Saccharomyces cerevisiae S288C: one gene and its partners. The gene in region 1 interacts genetically with each later gene. Each region holds a gene or a part of one and is shown in the gene's direction. Other genes may lie near its edges.

Evidence for each region.
Region 2: mutations in UBP3 (region 1) and BUD14 together harm fitness more than expected from each alone (negative genetic interaction), as found in Saccharomyces cerevisiae (4 studies listed by BioGRID, with this or other methods).
Region 3: mutations in UBP3 (region 1) and CKB1 together harm fitness more than expected from each alone (negative genetic interaction), as found in Saccharomyces cerevisiae (4 studies listed by BioGRID).
Region 4: mutations in UBP3 (region 1) and DST1 together harm fitness more than expected from each alone (negative genetic interaction), as found in Saccharomyces cerevisiae (6 studies listed by BioGRID, with this or other methods).

Annotation. Positions count from the first base shown.
Region 1 is NC_001137.3:468,880-474,621, reverse strand, and holds UBP3 (mRNA-binding ubiquitin-specific protease UBP3), read left to right. Parts: upstream 1-2,197; coding exon 2,198-4,936; downstream 4,937-5,742. Other genes in the region: PET122 (Pet122p), read left to right, coding at 1-581; YER152C (2-aminoadipate transaminase), read left to right, coding at 634-1,965. UniProt on the Saccharomyces cerevisiae protein: Has an ATP-independent isopeptidase activity, cleaving at the C-terminus of the ubiquitin moiety in natural or engineered linear fusion proteins, irrespective of their size or the presence of an N-terminal extension to ubiquitin.
Region 2 is NC_001133.9:165,946-170,915, reverse strand, and holds BUD14 (protein phosphatase regulator BUD14), read left to right. Parts: upstream 1-2,044; coding exon 2,045-4,174; downstream 4,175-4,970. Other genes in the region: serine/threonine protein kinase KIN3, read left to right, coding at 1-520; ADE1 (phosphoribosylaminoimidazolesuccinocarboxamide synthase), read right to left, coding at 621-1,541. UniProt on the Saccharomyces cerevisiae protein: Important for bud site selection. Seems to be a regulatory subunit of the BUD14-GLC7 type-I phosphatase complex. The BUD14-GLC7 complex is necessary to regulate microtubule dynamics at the cortex and may function as a specific activator of the dynein complex.
Region 3 is NC_001139.9:456,020-459,492, forward strand, and holds CKB1 (casein kinase 2 regulatory subunit CKB1), read left to right. Parts: upstream 1-2,136; coding exon 2,137-2,973; downstream 2,974-3,473. Other genes in the region: protein kinase ALK1, read left to right, coding at 1-1,048; GET complex subunit GET1, read right to left, coding at 1,144-1,851; J-type chaperone JAC1, read right to left, coding at 3,091-3,473. UniProt on the Saccharomyces cerevisiae protein: Regulatory subunit of casein kinase II/CK2.
Region 4 is NC_001139.9:415,558-419,202, forward strand, and holds DST1 (transcription elongation factor DST1), read left to right. Parts: upstream 1-1,925; coding exon 1,926-2,855; downstream 2,856-3,645. Other genes in the region: RIM8 (Rim8p), read left to right, coding at 1-173; RNA15 (Rna15p), read right to left, coding at 589-1,479; YGL041C-B (uncharacterized protein), read right to left, coding at 3,147-3,329; DPC13 (Dpc13p), read left to right, coding at 3,268-3,645. UniProt on the Saccharomyces cerevisiae protein: Necessary for efficient RNA polymerase II transcription elongation past template-encoded arresting sites.

The DNA of each region.
Region 1 (5,742 bases):
TAGCATACATGTGGTATCAGCATGTGATGCCACGCCGGTTGCCAGTAGAGGGCCGCCTGCTATGTGAAATGGCTGGCGTAGCATTGTACCAGGACAGGCTCTTCTTACCCGCGCAGTTCCTCCAGCACTACCAGGCGATGAATCGCGATCGTCGCACCAGCCCAGAAGATGAACTGATTGAGTATGAGCTTAGACGGATTAAAGTCGAAGCGTTTGCGCGTGGCACAATGCACTCCACGGCGCTCAGGGAAAAGTGGAAGGTATTCTTGCAGGAGATGGATACGCTACCAGGGCAGCCGCCATTAAGGCTGCGCGACTTCCCGCAAATGACCAAGGCTATGGGCATAGCATTGATGCAGCAAGATGAGCAAGCAGCTGCCCTGGCGTTGTTTGGACGACAGCCCCTAGTGATAAAGAACGAATGGTCACTACCGCTACTACTGGCTGGTGTCCTTTGGCATGTTCCCGGCCCAGCGCAGGCGCGACGTGTGCTGGCGGAGTTCCGTCAAAGTTATCGCGGGCTGCCGCTGCTGGATGCCGAACTAGTGATAAAGAGAAGAGGATTTGAAATCAACACATAAATCTGGGTGGAGCATCGCTGTAACAAGGAACAACGCGTGCTAGCAAGCGGTAATGAAATACAAGGAAATCAATTTCTTCAAGGGCCATCCGAGCTCGAGGTTGCTGCCTCGAGAAGCAGTAATTCAAGCGACTGCGGCTATATTGGGGCCCGAGACCAGGGAGTACGATAACGACCCCTATAACAGGCATCCGCTGACGTACGGTTCGGACGAAGGTGCCCTGTGGGTGCGAGAGCAGATTTGTACGTTTCTGAATGATCAGCTGTTTAAGTTCGAAAATGGGGCTCGGAGCAGGACACGGGCAGACTATTTGAATCTGAATAGCGGCGCTTCGTATGGCATGCTGAACATCCTTCTGCAAACAACCTTGCCACATAACGGGTATACCAGGCAGGCGTTCATCATCACGCCAACATATTTCTTGATCAACAATTGCTTCACAGATGCGGGATTCAAGGGGAAAATGACCGCCATCAACGAGCAGGGCCACGACTCGATTGATTTCGAGTCGTTGATTTCTGCCCTTGAGCAGCACGAGGCGGAGCCGCAGCCCCATAGTACCACAGAGATGATTCAGGGGCCAAAGTTGACCAAGAAGGTCTACAGGTACGTTATGTACTGCATCCCGACGTTTGCAAACCCATCGGGAAACACATACTCGCTTGAGACCAGACGCAGACTTATCGACATCGCTCGGAAGTACGACATGCTGATAATCACTGATGACGTGTACGATATTCTAGATTACACGACGCCCTCAGATGAGCTGCCCTCTCCGCCCCTAAGGATGGTGCACATAGACAGAAGTACAGCGCCCTCCGGTGAGGACTCGTTCGGGAATACAGTGTCCAACGCAACTTTCTCCAAGCTGATCGCCCCTGGGCTCAGATTTGGATACCATGAGTCAATCAACGCGAATCTCGCCAGACAGCTATCTAAAGGTGGTGCAAACGTCTCTGGCGGAACTCCCTCACAACTGAACTCCATGATCGTGGGTGAGATGCTGCGTAGTGGTGCCGCCCAGAGATGCATTGCACATCTGAGATCCGTATACTCCGAGAGGGCCACTGTCTTGACCTCGGCGCTTAAGAAATACATGCCCCTAGGAACCGAGATTATGCCATTGAAGGGCGGCTATTTTACTTGGATCACTCTCCCACCAGCGTACAATGCCATGGAGATATCCACTATTCTTGCCAAGAAATTTAATGTCATCCTTGCCGACGGCTCCAATTTCGAGGTCATCGGCGATGAGAAAAACTGGGGTCAGTCATGCTTTAGGCTTTCTATTAGTTTCTTAGAAGTTGATGATATCGACAGGGGCATTGAGCTGTTTGGTGCTGTTTGCAAATCTCATGCGATCACCAATAACATAACTATGTAGAAGGAATACGTATATAGGTGAACGGTAATAAGAGGGTAATTTTTCTACGGGCAAAGGCAAGGAAGAAAAAGAAAAAGAAGGAAAAAAATATAATGTGATAAAACAAACAAGCAGCGAAAAAGCGAAAGGGAAGAGAAGTGTTTCTAGAGAAGAAAGTCATTTTAATAGTAAGTCAGACTCGTCTGCTACCATCATCCAGGTACCGCTTTCCTTTCCATCATCATTAAAAAAAATGAACATGCAAGACGCTAACAAAGAAGAGTCGTACTCGATGTACCCGAAAACCTCTTCTCCACCACCACCTACGCCAACCAATATGCAGATTCCTATTTATCAAGCGCCTTTGCAGATGTACGGCTACACTCAGGCCCCATATCTATACCCCACACAAATACCTGCCTATTCGTTTAATATGGTCAACCAAAACCAGCCAATCTACCATCAAAGTGGCAGCCCACATCACTTGCCTCCGCAAAACAATATTAACGGCGGAAGCACTACCAATAACAACAACATTAACAAGAAGAAGTGGCACTCTAATGGCATTACCAATAACAATGGAAGCAGCGGTAATCAAGGCGCCAACTCTAGCGGTAGCGGCATGAGCTACAACAAATCCCACACCTACCATCACAATTACTCTAACAATCATATCCCCATGATGGCCTCTCCAAACAGTGGCAGCAATGCGGGCATGAAAAAACAGACCAACTCTTCCAACGGCAACGGTTCTTCGGCTACTTCACCATCGTACTCTTCCTACAACTCTTCTTCACAGTATGATTTATACAAGTTTGATGTCACTAAATTAAAGAATCTCAAGGAAAATTCATCAAACTTGATTCAATTGCCACTGTTCATAAACACTACGGAAGCAGAATTTGCTGCGGCAAGTGTCCAAAGGTACGAATTAAACATGAAGGCTTTGAACCTAAACTCTGAAAGCTTAGAGAACTCATCTGTAGAAAAGAGCTCTGCCCATCATCACACAAAAAGCCATAGTATACCAAAGCATAATGAGGAAGTAAAGACAGAAACACATGGGGAAGAAGAAGATGCTCATGATAAAAAACCACATGCGAGCAAAGATGCGCACGAGCTTAAAAAGAAAACTGAAGTAAAGAAAGAGGATGCTAAGCAAGACCGTAACGAAAAAGTTATACAGGAACCTCAAGCTACTGTTTTACCTGTAGTGGATAAGAAGGAACCAGAGGAATCTGTTGAAGAAAATACTTCCAAGACATCTTCACCTTCACCATCTCCTCCAGCAGCAAAATCCTGGTCCGCCATAGCATCAGATGCGATTAAAAGTAGACAAGCTAGTAACAAAACAGTCTCCGGATCGATGGTCACTAAAACACCAATTTCTGGTACGACCGCAGGCGTTTCATCAACAAACATGGCTGCGGCGACTATAGGTAAATCCAGCTCTCCCCTGTTGTCCAAGCAGCCTCAGAAAAAGGATAAAAAATACGTTCCACCTTCTACAAAGGGTATTGAGCCACTGGGTTCGATTGCGTTAAGAATGTGTTTTGATCCCGATTTCATTAGTTACGTTTTACGGAATAAAGATGTTGAAAACAAAATACCAGTCCATTCCATTATTCCAAGAGGCATAATTAACAGAGCCAACATTTGTTTTATGAGTTCTGTGTTACAAGTGTTACTCTACTGTAAGCCATTTATTGATGTAATTAACGTTCTCAGTACACGGAATACCAATTCAAGAGTCGGCACATCATCCTGTAAATTATTAGATGCTTGTTTGACTATGTATAAGCAATTCGATAAGGAAACCTATGAGAAAAAATTCCTAGAGAATGCTGATGATGCTGAAAAAACCACGGAAAGTGATGCAAAAAAATCATCAAAATCCAAGAGTTTCCAACACTGCGCCACTGCCGATGCTGTCAAACCTGACGAATTTTACAAAACTTTGTCTACTATACCGAAGTTCAAAGACTTGCAATGGGGCCATCAGGAAGACGCAGAAGAATTTTTGACCCACTTATTGGACCAATTACACGAGGAATTAATTTCTGCAATTGATGGCTTAACCGATAATGAAATTCAAAATATGCTGCAAAGTATTAATGATGAACAATTGAAAGTTTTCTTTATTAGAAATTTGTCACGTTATGGAAAAGCAGAGTTTATCAAAAATGCTAGTCCTAGACTGAAGGAGTTGATAGAAAAATATGGCGTGATCAATGATGACTCTACCGAAGAAAATGGTTGGCATGAAGTGAGCGGATCTAGCAAAAGAGGCAAGAAAACTAAGACCGCTGCCAAGAGGACTGTCGAGATTGTTCCATCACCAATCTCCAAACTTTTCGGTGGCCAGTTCAGATCTGTGTTAGATATACCGAACAATAAGGAATCTCAATCGATTACACTCGATCCGTTCCAAACAATTCAATTGGACATTTCAGATGCTGGTGTGAATGATCTAGAAACTGCATTCAAAAAATTTAGTGAATACGAATTGCTACCCTTTAAGTCCTCGTCAGGGAATGATGTCGAGGCCAAGAAGCAGACTTTTATTGATAAATTGCCGCAAGTTCTTTTAATCCAATTCAAAAGATTCTCATTCATAAATAATGTGAACAAAGACAACGCAATGACGAACTATAACGCGTACAATGGACGTATTGAGAAGATCAGGAAAAAAATTAAATATGGTCACGAGTTAATCATACCTGAAGAATCAATGTCTTCCATAACATTGAAAAACAACACCTCAGGGATTGATGATAGAAGATATAAGCTAACCGGAGTTATATACCATCATGGGGTAAGTTCCGATGGCGGTCATTACACAGCGGATGTTTATCATAGCGAGCACAACAAATGGTATAGAATAGATGATGTAAATATTACCGAACTAGAGGACGATGACGTTTTGAAAGGTGGCGAAGAAGCTTCTGATTCGAGGACTGCCTATATTTTAATGTATCAAAAGAGAAATTAAGACGGGGGGTGGTATTATAGACAAAATACATAAAAAATAATATAGCAATAATACAATACAATACAATACAATACGATAGTGAGCACGATTTTAAAAAAGAAATAGAGACAGACAGAGAAACAGAGTTACACTTTATGCTTGGCATATTTAAAAAATGATTTCGCCCAGGATCGAACTGGGGACGTTCTGCGTGTTAAGCAGATGCCATAACCGACTAGACCACGAAACCAATTATTTCTTGGAGATGAACATTTAAGAAACAAATACCTTGTAGAAGGAATGTGAATTTCAAAATATTATGGCCTTTGGCAACAATGGAATCACAACAATTATCACAAAACTCATACATCTCTTAAGATTCATTTCTTACTTTAAGTAATCATCCAAATTTAGCCAAAGTTTGATTTTACCTAAAAAAAGCAGAGGATTCCCGATTTCAATCATATGTGCACAGACGATGAGTCCAACACGTTATCGTTAACATAGTGCTCAATATTGCCACTGCGCTTCGCAGGAGCATATTTCGTATACGCCAAGCCCAAGGAGGGTTTTGTCATTAAGCAGCTTACGCCAATTAAGTGCTAACCTCGAAGCACCATACTTTATCTCAGGATTTACAAACTCCCTATTGCACAACGGCAAACAACATAATCATGACCAAATGGGTAAAAAAGATGAGCTGTGAAAAAGCCAAAAAAAAAAAGGAAGAACTAGAATTACATTTATTATTCTACACACAAAAAGAAAAAATAGTTTCTTTATTTAAATGATTTGAAGAAAAAGAACTATAACGACTACATCGAAGA
Region 2 (4,970 bases), on another chromosome or scaffold:
ACCATACTCCCCACTATCCGACATCTGGTCACTAGGTTGTGTTATTTTTGAGATGTGTTCGTTGCACCCCCCATTTCAGGCAAAAAATTATCTCGAGCTACAAACTAAGATTAAAAACGGGAAATGTGACACCGTCCCTGAGTATTACTCTAGAGGGCTTAATGCCATAATACATTCAATGATAGATGTGAACTTAAGAACCAGGCCTTCCACTTTTGAATTACTGCAAGATATTCAGATACGAACTGCAAGAAAGTCGTTGCAATTAGAGAGATTTGAAAGGAAGTTACTGGACTATGAAAATGAGCTGACAAACATTGAAAAAATCCTCGAGAAGCAAGCTATTGAATACGAAAGAGAACTGAGTCAGTTGAAGGAACAATTTACCCAGGCAGTGGAGGAGCGAGCCAGGGAAGTAATTAGCGGTAAGAAAGTTGGTAAGGTTCCAGAATCTATAAACGGATATTATGGTAAAAAATTTGCCAAACCTGCATACCACTGGCAAACAAGATATCGATAAAATTTGCTCTGAGAACATTTATACATTAATACATACGGGTATGTATGAATCATATTCAGTGAGGAGTTACACTGGCGACTTGTAGTATATGTAAATCACGTTAGTGAGACCATTTAGACCCTGTCAATGTTTCATAAGCCTCTATATATTTGGCCCTTGTCCTGTCGACAATGTCTTGGGGCATTTTGACGCCGTTAACACCGTTCAACTTATTAGCAGTAAGCCAGTCTCTTAAAAATTGCTTATCGTAAGAATCTTGGGATTCTCCTACCTTATAAGAGGCACCGTTCCAGAATCTAGAGGAGTCTGGCGTTAGCACCTCGTCCACTAGAATAATTTCATTGGTCTTTTCGTCAATACCGAATTCGAATTTAGTGTCTGCGATGATGATGCCCTTCTCCTTAGCATAATCTTTGCACTTGGAGTACAGTTTTACAGCCAGTTCTGCCACTCTACGTGACAAATCTTCACCCACCAGCTCAGCGGCCTGGGCAGGAGAGATGTTTTCGTCATGTTCACCTTGTTCAGCCTTGGTCGATGGGGTGAAGATTGGTTCTGGGAACTCTTGAGATTCTTTAAGTCCTTGAGGTTGTTTCAAACCATGCACAGTACCTGTTTTTACGTACTCTTTCCAAGCAGATCCGGTGATGTAGCCTCTGACAATTACTTCCAATGGAATTAGTTTATGTTTGTGAACCAATAGAGAGCGGTCTTCTAGTTGCGTTTTGTACTTTGGTTCGCTCAATTTTGCAGGTAGATAATCGAAAATAGTCTTACCTGGGGCGATGTCGACCAAATGATTACGAACATCGTTGGACAGGAACTTGAACCAGAACTCTGACAGTTTGGTCAATAGGATCCCCTTTTCAGGAATGCTGTTTTCCATAATAACGTCATATGCAGAGATACGATCCGTAGCAACAAACAGCAACGTACCAGCGTCTACCTCATATATGTCTCTAACTTTACCTCTGGCCACCAATGGCAATATACCGTCCAGTTCAGTCTTCGTAATTGACATTATCGTTAATATTTCGTATGTGTATTCTTTGTAAGCAATGCTTATGATTCGATTGTTCTTAATAGTACCAACTGCAAAAGATAAAACCCAACCGTCTTACCTCAAAGAATCTGGGTAAGAATATATAGAATGTATATATATATATATGTATGTCTATATGTATTAGATGGCATCTTCGAGATTAGTATTATTACATCCTCATCTCTCGCAAGAGTCAGACTGACTCGTGAATAAGCTTCGGGTGACCCTTATGGCATTCTTTTTCAACCTTCAGGAAAAGTTTCAGATGAGTTGAAATTTCGAGTATGGCTACATGGATCAAGTGCTGTAAACAAAGAAGCTTCTACAGGGGTACGCTGGTTGTGTTTTCTGCTTTGCTATCGTGTAGAACTGGATCCATTCTTTCCTGGCTGTGGTAGTACTTAAGGAGTTGGACGTGTTCAAGTCGAGAAAGAGGTGAAATACACGTAGTTTTTAGATAACATTCTCTGCTTGGTAAGAGAATGAGTAATAAGGAAGAGCATGTTGATGAGACTTCCGCAAGTGGTGTCAAGGAGGTTAGTTCTATAGCTGCTAGACATGACAATGGTTACGCGCCTTCGCTAATCACGTCGACGTCGGGCATGGACTCCTTTCAATCGCACGCGCTACTGAATGATCCAACCCTAATAGAGGATTATTCAGATATCATTAATAATAGGCCTACAAGTGGAAGTAAACTTACTTTAGGAAACGAGGATTCGGAGAGTATGGGCGGAAGTGTTGTGGTGACTCCGACTTCGAATAAGAGTTCGCCCTTCAATTCGAAACTTAATATACTGAGTAATGCGGCAGAAAAGGGCCATGATGTTCTGCGAAATAGAGATGATGACAAAGAGTTAGAGGAGGAGAACGTGGAAAAACATATGCATAGCAACAGTAAAAGGGATCAGCGACATTACAAAGAAAATTCTTCGGAATTGCCCGACTCATATGATTATTCGGATTCTGAATTTGAGGACAATTTGGAAAGAAGGCTACAAGAGATCGAAACTGATTCCGTGGATAGCGCCGATAAGGATGAGGTGCATTTTTCAGTGAATAATACAATGAACCCTGACGTTGACGATTTTAGTGATGGCTTGAAATACGCCATCTCGGAGGACGAGGATGAAGAGGAAAACTACTCTGATGACGATGACTTTGACAGAAAATTTCAAGATTCAGGGTTTCAAGGGGAGAAAGACGATTTGGAGGAGGAAAACGACGATTACCAACCCTTATCGCCGCCAAGAGAACTGGACCCTGATAAACTATATGCTTTATATGCGTTCAATGGCCATGATTCTTCACATTGTCAATTAGGGCAAGACGAACCTTGTATACTTTTGAATGACCAGGATGCCTATTGGTGGCTGGTTAAGAGGATCACTGATGGTAAAATCGGGTTTGCGCCAGCGGAAATTCTAGAAACCTTTCCAGAAAGACTAGCTCGATTGAATTGCTGGAAAAATGAAAACATGTCTTCTCAATCGGTTGCTTCCTCCGATTCGAAAGATGATTCCATCAGCTCTGGTAACAAGAATCAAAGTGATGCAGAGAGTATAATTCCGACACCTGCACTGAATGGATATGGTAAGGGGAACAAATCTGTTAGTTTCAATGATGTTGTCGGTTATGCAGACAGGTTTATAGATGATGCAATTGAAGATACCTCGTTAGATAGTAACGATGATGGCGGTGAAGGCAATGGACAGTCGTACGACGATGATGTTGATAACGACAAGGAAACAAAAGTAACGCACCGGGACGAATACACTGAAGCGAAGTTAAATTTTGGCAAATTCCAGGATGATGATACGAGCGATGTAGTGAGCGACGTCTCCTTTAGTACATCTTTGAATACACCACTAAATGTGAAAAAAGTTCGGAGACAAGACAACAAAAACGAAAGTGAGCCTAAGACATCATCGAGTAAAGACAGAGAAGATGATTATAATGCAAATCGGTATGTGGGGCAAGAAAAGTCTGAACCGGTTGACAGTGATTACGATACCGATCTGAAAAAAGTATTTGAAGCGCCTCGTATGCCATTTGCGAATGGTATGGCAAAATCAGACTCTCAAAATTCCCTTTCAACAATTGGCGAGTTTTCACCGTCGTCGTCAGAATGGACAAACGAATCACCATCCACTCCAATAGTTGAAGAAAGCAGCAGTATTCCATCATCTAGAGCAATAAAGGACATTTCACAATATATTCATGCAAAATCGAAAATTGAAGAGACAACAAACGTGGAAAACACAGAGGGGCAAATTCAAGCCAGCTTGGGGTCTAGTGGAGGAATGGCAAATCAAACTGACGCAGAACAACCTAAAGAGGAGCTAGAAAAACATCACAGTACCCCCGAAGAAGAAAAGCAATCAACCTTATCGTTACACTCATCATCTGAAGAAGATTTTTATATGGATGAACAAAGGGCGGTATCATCAGCAAGCATAAATAGTTCACTTTCCGGATCAAGGGCATTGTCTAATACCAATATGTCCGATCCGGCTTCGAAGCCCAATTCTTTGGTTCAACATCTCTATGCTCCAGTTTTTGACAGAATGGATGTGTTGATGAAACAATTGGATGAAATTATTCGTAAATGATATTGTCCTTACAATAAAGCCTGGTCTTTTTCTCATCCAACGAACTTGCATCATATTCATGAATATTTATTTGTTTTAGAAACATTTCGGAAAAAATAAGGTAGTAACAGTTCAGCATATATGATAGCTAAAACAAACAACTATATATCGTATCTACAAAGTTTATCTTACTTCTTCTATTTTTTAACTTTGCTTCAGATTATGATAATGAAAAGGAGGAATAAAATTCTGTCATTATTCAGCATCCTCCAATGTGTCATAGGGATATAACTGGGGTTGAGGAGGTAGTAGTCGACAACTACTTAGTCGTGATACAACAGTATGGATAGGTACTTTCCACGAACATTACTGATGACAGTCAGCTATTCACGAATTCAATTGTGTTGGATTAACAAAAAAATTTGGACGCAACCGGAATCGAACCGATGACCTCTTCCTTGCAAGGGAAGCGCGCTACCAACTGCGCCATGTGCCCAACTCATTACAATACTAGACTTATGAAGGAATGGTAAGTGCTTAGAAGCTTTATGATGTAGTAGAGATTTAAGGCCATCAATTACATTGTTGAAAATAAGAACCTGTTGGAATAGAAATCAACTATCATCTACTAACTAGTATTTACATTACTAGTATATTATCATATACGGTGTTAGAAGATGACGCAAATGATGAGAAATAGTCATCTAAATTAGTGGAAGCTGAAACGCAAGGATTGATAATGTAATAGGATCAATGAATATAAACATATAAAACGGAATGAGGAATAATCGTAATATTAGTATGTAGAAATATAGAT
Region 3 (3,473 bases), on another chromosome or scaffold:
TACGTTGAGTCACCGAATATCGTTACCTGTACCGGACCAAGTTTCCCGTGATAAAATTCAGAACAAATTAAGATATTCGACCTCATTACTCTCATTAAATTCTAAATCATCTTTACCGATGAACAAAAATGATCATGATGAGACACTTCTAAGACAGATTTTACTAAATTGTGATATAAAGAGAATTTTAAACCCCGCAAAAGGAGATGTATTGCCTTTAATCAACGATGTAAACCATTTGTCATCAATACAATTAACATCAAATGTTTGGCAAATTGGTGAAGTAATCTGTAAAAAAGTTTCTCTCGGTACTATTGATGACATTACATGGGATAGAAAGTTCTTATCTTTGCAGGAACTGGAAAAACTCAAAATCATGCAACAAAAATTTGATGGCATACCGCAACTATTGAAAAGTTTTGTTGTTAAAGAGGCAAATGGGGGGTTGTATTTGTACTTACTATTCAAAGATCACGGTACCCCAATTTCGTTAATCTCACTGAAAAACTGGAAGCAGATTCTAAAGATTTTTTGGTCTTGTGCTGGTATAATTCATGGGTTGGAAAAAAATTTGAAATTTGAACATCGTAATCTTACTTTGGATAATATTTTGATAGATGGTAATGGGAATATAACAATTATTGATTTTAAATGCAGTAGATTGCAAACTCCTCAAGATGATGTTTTATATCTACGGCTAGATCATCCACTCTTTTTTCTAAATGGGAAAGACAAGAGTAAAATAAACGAATACCAGTATCAATTTGAGTTTGAAATCTATCAAAGTATGCGGATCTTGTTGAACATGGACGCGTCAGCTTTTGAGCCCATGACAAATTTGTATTGGTTATATTACCTGTCACGCGTTTTACTAAAGTTTGGTGACAGGAAGCTTGGTAAGAATGATGCAAACAGGGATAAAATGGCAAGGGTGATAAACCATTTGGAAATGAACTTGGCAGTTCATAAAAGAGGGGGGCAGTTATTCAAAAGATTGGAGACGGAGGACATTAAGAATACTGGAGATTTACTAAAACTTTATAAATAAAACAAATAGGAATGTTGACATTTATATTTCATTTTCTTTCTATTGTATACTCCAATACATAAACATATTATATATACGTACATAATGTAATAACACTAATCTAAAATAATGGCATCGTCGACAGCATCCAAGGCTTTCTCCTCTTGAGTCTCCACAGATGCAGGTGCTTCCATTTTGGGAGTCAAAAACAATTGCTTAACGATAAATTCCACGCCGTTGATGACATTCATCAATGCCCAAACCCAGATTCCCAAAGAGACACTCTGTAAAGCCATATCATCAAACTTGGAAGCACCAAATTTGCCCTCCATTATATGCCATTTCTGAGAAATAGTCCTTAGAGGATGCAAGAGAACATATAACCAGCCTTGAGACCAAACACCACTTACAAACGTAGGGAACAAGGTGCTAGTCGAGGAACTCAACTTGTAAACTGGTGTCTTGCCGTACATAATCTTAAACACAAAAAATGGCACCGTCAATGCCAATAACCTGAGTTTGTGAAGATGGGCCTGAAAGGCTTTATTTTCTGATTGTATTTCGTCCTTCAAGTTATTTATTTCTTTATCTAACGAGTCCAATTTTCTATTGTTCTTAGTCCATTTGGCATAATTATCCTGCGCGGAGATAGAGTTGTTGAATTCTTTTAATTCGTGACGTTCTTTGACCTTGGCTAAGTATTTTTTGGATAATTCATTTCCTGGTGCAAATTTAGAGATCCATTTCTCGTGGTATTTGTTTGTATACTGTAGAAACTTTGTGACCACAATAAAGAATATCGCTACCGCTGCTGCCCAATGCATTTCTCCTATTTCAATCAACTAGACGTAGTTCAAGGATTGCAAACTGTCCTGCTTTCTTTTATCTGGTCTTTTTATCCCGAGGTATTGTTGTATATACCACTACTCTGTGATTTTTTTTCACTCTTGGGAAGGAAAGAAAAAGTGAAAACATCAACTGGTAAGTGTCTAATGACAAAAACAGGAGGTAGTTGGTACGTGCAAAACACGATAGTGACGTTAATCCGAATCTGTAAATTGGTGAATTGGTATTTAGAAGCGACCATTAGCTAAAAGAGAGAGAAAACTATGTCGCAAGAGTTTGTGGAAGACTATTCACGTACAGGGTCCTCAGACGACGAGGATAGTGGAGCTTATGACGAGTGGATTCCATCGTTCTGTTCCAGATTTGGTCACGAGTACTTCTGCCAAGTCCCGACAGAGTTTATCGAGGATGATTTCAATATGACCTCGTTATCCCAAGAGGTACCCCACTACCGGAAAGCTCTGGATTTGATATTGGATTTGGAGGCTATGAGTGATGAAGAAGAGGACGAAGACGACGTGGTGGAAGAAGACGAAGTGGATCAAGAGATGCAGAGTAATGACGGTCATGATGAAGGCAAAAGGAGAAACAAGTCGCCAGTGGTGAACAAGAGTATTATCGAGCACGCAGCAGAACAGTTATACGGATTGATACATGCAAGATTTATTCTGACCAAGCCAGGCCTGCAAGCAATGGCTGAAAAATTCGACCACAAGGAATTTGGAACGTGCCCCCGTTACTATTGTAATGGCATGCAGTTGCTGCCTTGTGGGTTGAGCGATACAGTTGGGAAACACACCGTAAGGTTGTACTGTCCCAGTTGTCAGGACTTGTATCTTCCCCAATCATCTAGATTCCTGTGCTTAGAAGGTGCATTTTGGGGGACAAGCTTCCCTGGTGTGTTCTTGAAACATTTCAAAGAATTGGAAGAGTATGTGGAAAGGAAAAGTAAAGAGTCCTACGAGTTGAAAGTTTTTGGGTTCAGGATAAATGATGAGGCAGTATCTGGTCCTAGAATGAAGTGGTTGAGACAATATCCATCCACGGAGGAGGACTGGGAAGAATTTGCCAAATGCGAGTTCGAGACACCGGCGGTTTAACCCTTGATTTATTTTCCTCTTTGCCCTACCATATACATATGTACTTTACCTATTTACATTGTTTCAGTTTTTATATCACCACTATTATTATTATTACTATTACCACTTTGGAGTACTTTAGTGATTCATTTCCAATTGTTTTCCTGGAGCCCAGTCTTTGAATGCCTTGGCCAAGTTGTACCAGTACTTTAGCTCCACGGTCAACTTCACTGCGGCGGCGTAATCCTTGTCATTGTAGCATTGTCCCAACTGGGCTTCAATATCTTGAATTCTTTCCTTGTTTTGCTTTTCAAGCAGCTTCACACCAGCTTCGTCGTCCATCTGGGATAATTCATCATGGATGTCTAGAACTTTCAATAGTAACTGTGGATCACTGGTAGTTACTTCATTTGAGGTCTGTTCTTGCGTCAAATCGATATTGCGCAAGAGTTTTAGCATATATTGTGACCTTCTAAGGGGATCTTTGAGAGTATGGTAAGCTTGATTAAGAGTTGATGACT
Region 4 (3,645 bases), on another chromosome or scaffold:
CGAATTTAAGAGATTGGTTGGCCCCATTAAATGCATATGATAGTGACGATGTTCCAGTTCCAAAGTATTCGCCAAATGATAAAGTCAGTGTACCGTCGGAAGACAAACAAGAACTTGAACAAAAAAGACTACAACAGTTAGAAAGCGATCCTCCCCCTTGTGATGACTATTAAAAAGTGCAGGTAACAAGTCATATACTCGCAGCTTGCGCCGTGTTGGAACTAGGCGCCTTAATCATGTTTGCATATTTCCACTATCCCAGCCACGTAATGATCCATGACATTAACATAGAAAAAAAAAATCGAAGCATGCACAAACCTGAGATTTATATATGTTCATGTGTACTTAATATACGTTTAATGATTAAAACTATAGCCGTCCTCAGGCAAACTGAGATAAGAAACGAAAAAATAGCAGTAACGTAAACGTTATTCTATATTTATAAAGACGTCAAAAAAAAAAGTGATTGTGATATTGAGATGTAAGCTATATACCGAACTTTGAGCTCCCTCACGTGGAAAATATGATAGATTGTTGCCTCATCATTGCGGAACCGCATTTTTTTTTTGTATTTTTGCCTCCCTAGTTTCAAAATGCACCAAATTCTCCCCTTAATGCTTTTTGTTTTAAGTCCCAAATAGCCATCCTTTCATCATCGGGCAAGATAGAAATTTGACTGTCATTCAGTTGTAACACCTGTTTCAGTAGTTCTTTCTGTTTGTTAAGCACAGCTGGATCCACCACCTCGTTCACGCTATTGTTATTCGTAGCCGATGCCTCTTCTTGCGGCCTGGAAGCTAACGGGATCAAATCATCCACTTTACATATCCCATTCGTTAGCAATAATTCAGCCGTAACAAAACTCAACTGTGGACACAGCTCTAATAGCGAAACAGCATCTTCAGGATGCGCTCTTGTCCATTCTTGGAATTTTTGTAAAAATTTCAACTGCACCTCTTTCGGTTTTTTAGCTAGTTCGCTCGATATCATCATAGCAGGGGTGGTCATGTTTATGTTAACGTCGATACCAGAGGGCAATTCTGGAAACTTTTGACTTAGAAAATTGGCATTTCCGCTGTTTTGAAAGTCCGGCCCATTACTATTATTATTATTATTTCCATTGTTGTTATTGTTCCCATTAATGTTGTTGTACTGTTGTTGTTGCTGTTGTGAAACTCCCGATATATCACTATTGCTGGAGTAACCGCATTTCAAAAACCTAGAGCCTAATTGGTATCCATTCAAATTACGTACTGCGCTGGCACTGGACTCTAAATCTCTAAATTCAATAAACGCGTACCCTTTCGACCTACCAGTTTGGGGGTCGAACATCATTTTCAAATTGATCACGGGCCCAACATTACTACATAAATCAAGTATCTGCTCCTCTGTTTGATCGTATGGTATAGAACCCAGATACACCACTCGGGATGGTGGGTTGTTCTGTACCCCCGCATTCACACCGCTCTGCCTATTCATTTTATCGTTTTCGTCTTTTCTTTCAATGTATTGATAATTAACGTGTCTATGTGATGCTATTGGTATATAGCCTTTCTTGTATATCCCTCTAACAATTATTACAAGTGTTTCTGTTTAAAGCAAGTGCTAGAAGTGACTCGGTTCTCTTAGGAAATTCTAAACGCAAGATTTCTCTTATGGTGATTGTAACAATTATGAGATACTTCACTAGCCCACCTTAACTTTACGGACCTTCTTTTGAAACGATGCTTCGAATGACAACGCCTTTTTGATATATAATATCCAATTTCATTATAGGGAAATTTTCAACTCTTACCCGCCCCACTGTGCTGATATGACCAAGTGATCACTCGATGATGGGACTACGTATTGAAAAATATTGAATGAAAAATTACTCAAGCAGCAGAACATTCACAGTGTAGTCAGTCCGCATAAGAGCATTCATCATGGATAGTAAGGAAGTACTGGTACATGTTAAGAATCTAGAAAAGAACAAAAGTAATGATGCTGCAGTTCTAGAAATCTTACATGTCTTGGATAAAGAATTCGTCCCCACTGAAAAGTTACTGAGAGAAACAAAAGTTGGTGTGGAAGTCAACAAGTTTAAAAAATCCACTAATGTAGAGATCAGCAAACTCGTGAAGAAAATGATTAGCTCTTGGAAAGACGCAATTAATAAAAATAAGCGTTCCAGGCAAGCACAGCAGCATCATCAAGATCATGCGCCAGGCAATGCAGAGGACAAGACAACTGTAGGTGAGTCCGTGAATGGTGTTCAACAGCCGGCCTCCTCCCAGTCAGATGCCATGAAACAAGACAAGTACGTCAGCACTAAACCAAGAAATAGTAAGAACGATGGTGTGGATACAGCTATATACCACCACAAATTACGTGATCAGGTACTAAAAGCACTCTACGACGTTTTGGCCAAGGAAAGTGAGCATCCACCTCAATCTATTTTGCATACTGCAAAGGCCATAGAAAGTGAAATGAATAAAGTTAACAACTGTGACACCAACGAAGCCGCTTACAAAGCCAGGTATCGTATAATTTATTCAAACGTCATATCAAAGAATAACCCAGATCTCAAACATAAAATTGCCAACGGTGATATAACACCTGAATTCTTAGCTACATGCGATGCCAAGGATCTGGCACCAGCGCCCTTAAAGCAAAAGATAGAAGAAATTGCCAAGCAAAACTTATACAACGCACAGGGTGCCACCATAGAAAGGTCAGTCACCGATAGATTTACATGTGGTAAATGTAAAGAGAAGAAGGTATCTTACTATCAATTGCAAACAAGATCTGCGGATGAACCATTGACCACTTTCTGTACATGTGAAGCATGTGGTAACAGATGGAAATTCTCTTAGAATAGAAAAAGATGAGAGTAGCCACGGACAGAGCAAAGGAAACAATAGGAGGAAGGGACAGAAAAGCCTGTTCTGACTCTATTCGTAGTAGTATTTGACAGCCGGAATCCAGGAAAAGAAAAAGCCAAACATACAACCATATCCAATTTGTTGAAATGGCATATTCATATACGATGTACATATATACATATACTGCTGGTGTTAATTTTTTTTGTCTGTCTCACGTAAAATCTTTTGTTCGTCCAGTTACTTTTAATTATTTATGATTTTCATGTTTTCTTTATTAATCTTCTATGCATTAAATATGGCTCGGTCAGAACTAAAGAAATACAATTTAAGATGTAACAAAACCGACGAATAAAAAGTTAGAATAAACACAAGAAGCAGAAAGTAGATACTACAGCCACACATAATGCTAAGAGTTATATGGAAGCATAGTTCCAGAGTCACTCGTTCGATAGAACTATCGAACATTTCTACCACTAATCACACCAGGAGTTTAAGGAGGCTTTCCTGGATTTCTCCGAGAAGATTTTACGCTCAATCTTGGGACGACAGACAGCCTAATGACAAAATAGATGCACACATAAAGGTGCAGAAACTCATGGATCAAATAAATTCGAGGCCTAATGTTCTGGAAAAGTTAGAAAAGGTTAGCAATATCATGATCGAAAAAAAATTGGTTAATCTAGATGGGACTTCTGCCAATGAAGAAAATACGATGAAACCATGGCAAATGATTAAGATCTTAATGGACAGAGATCTGAGACACGCTATGAAGGAATTTAAA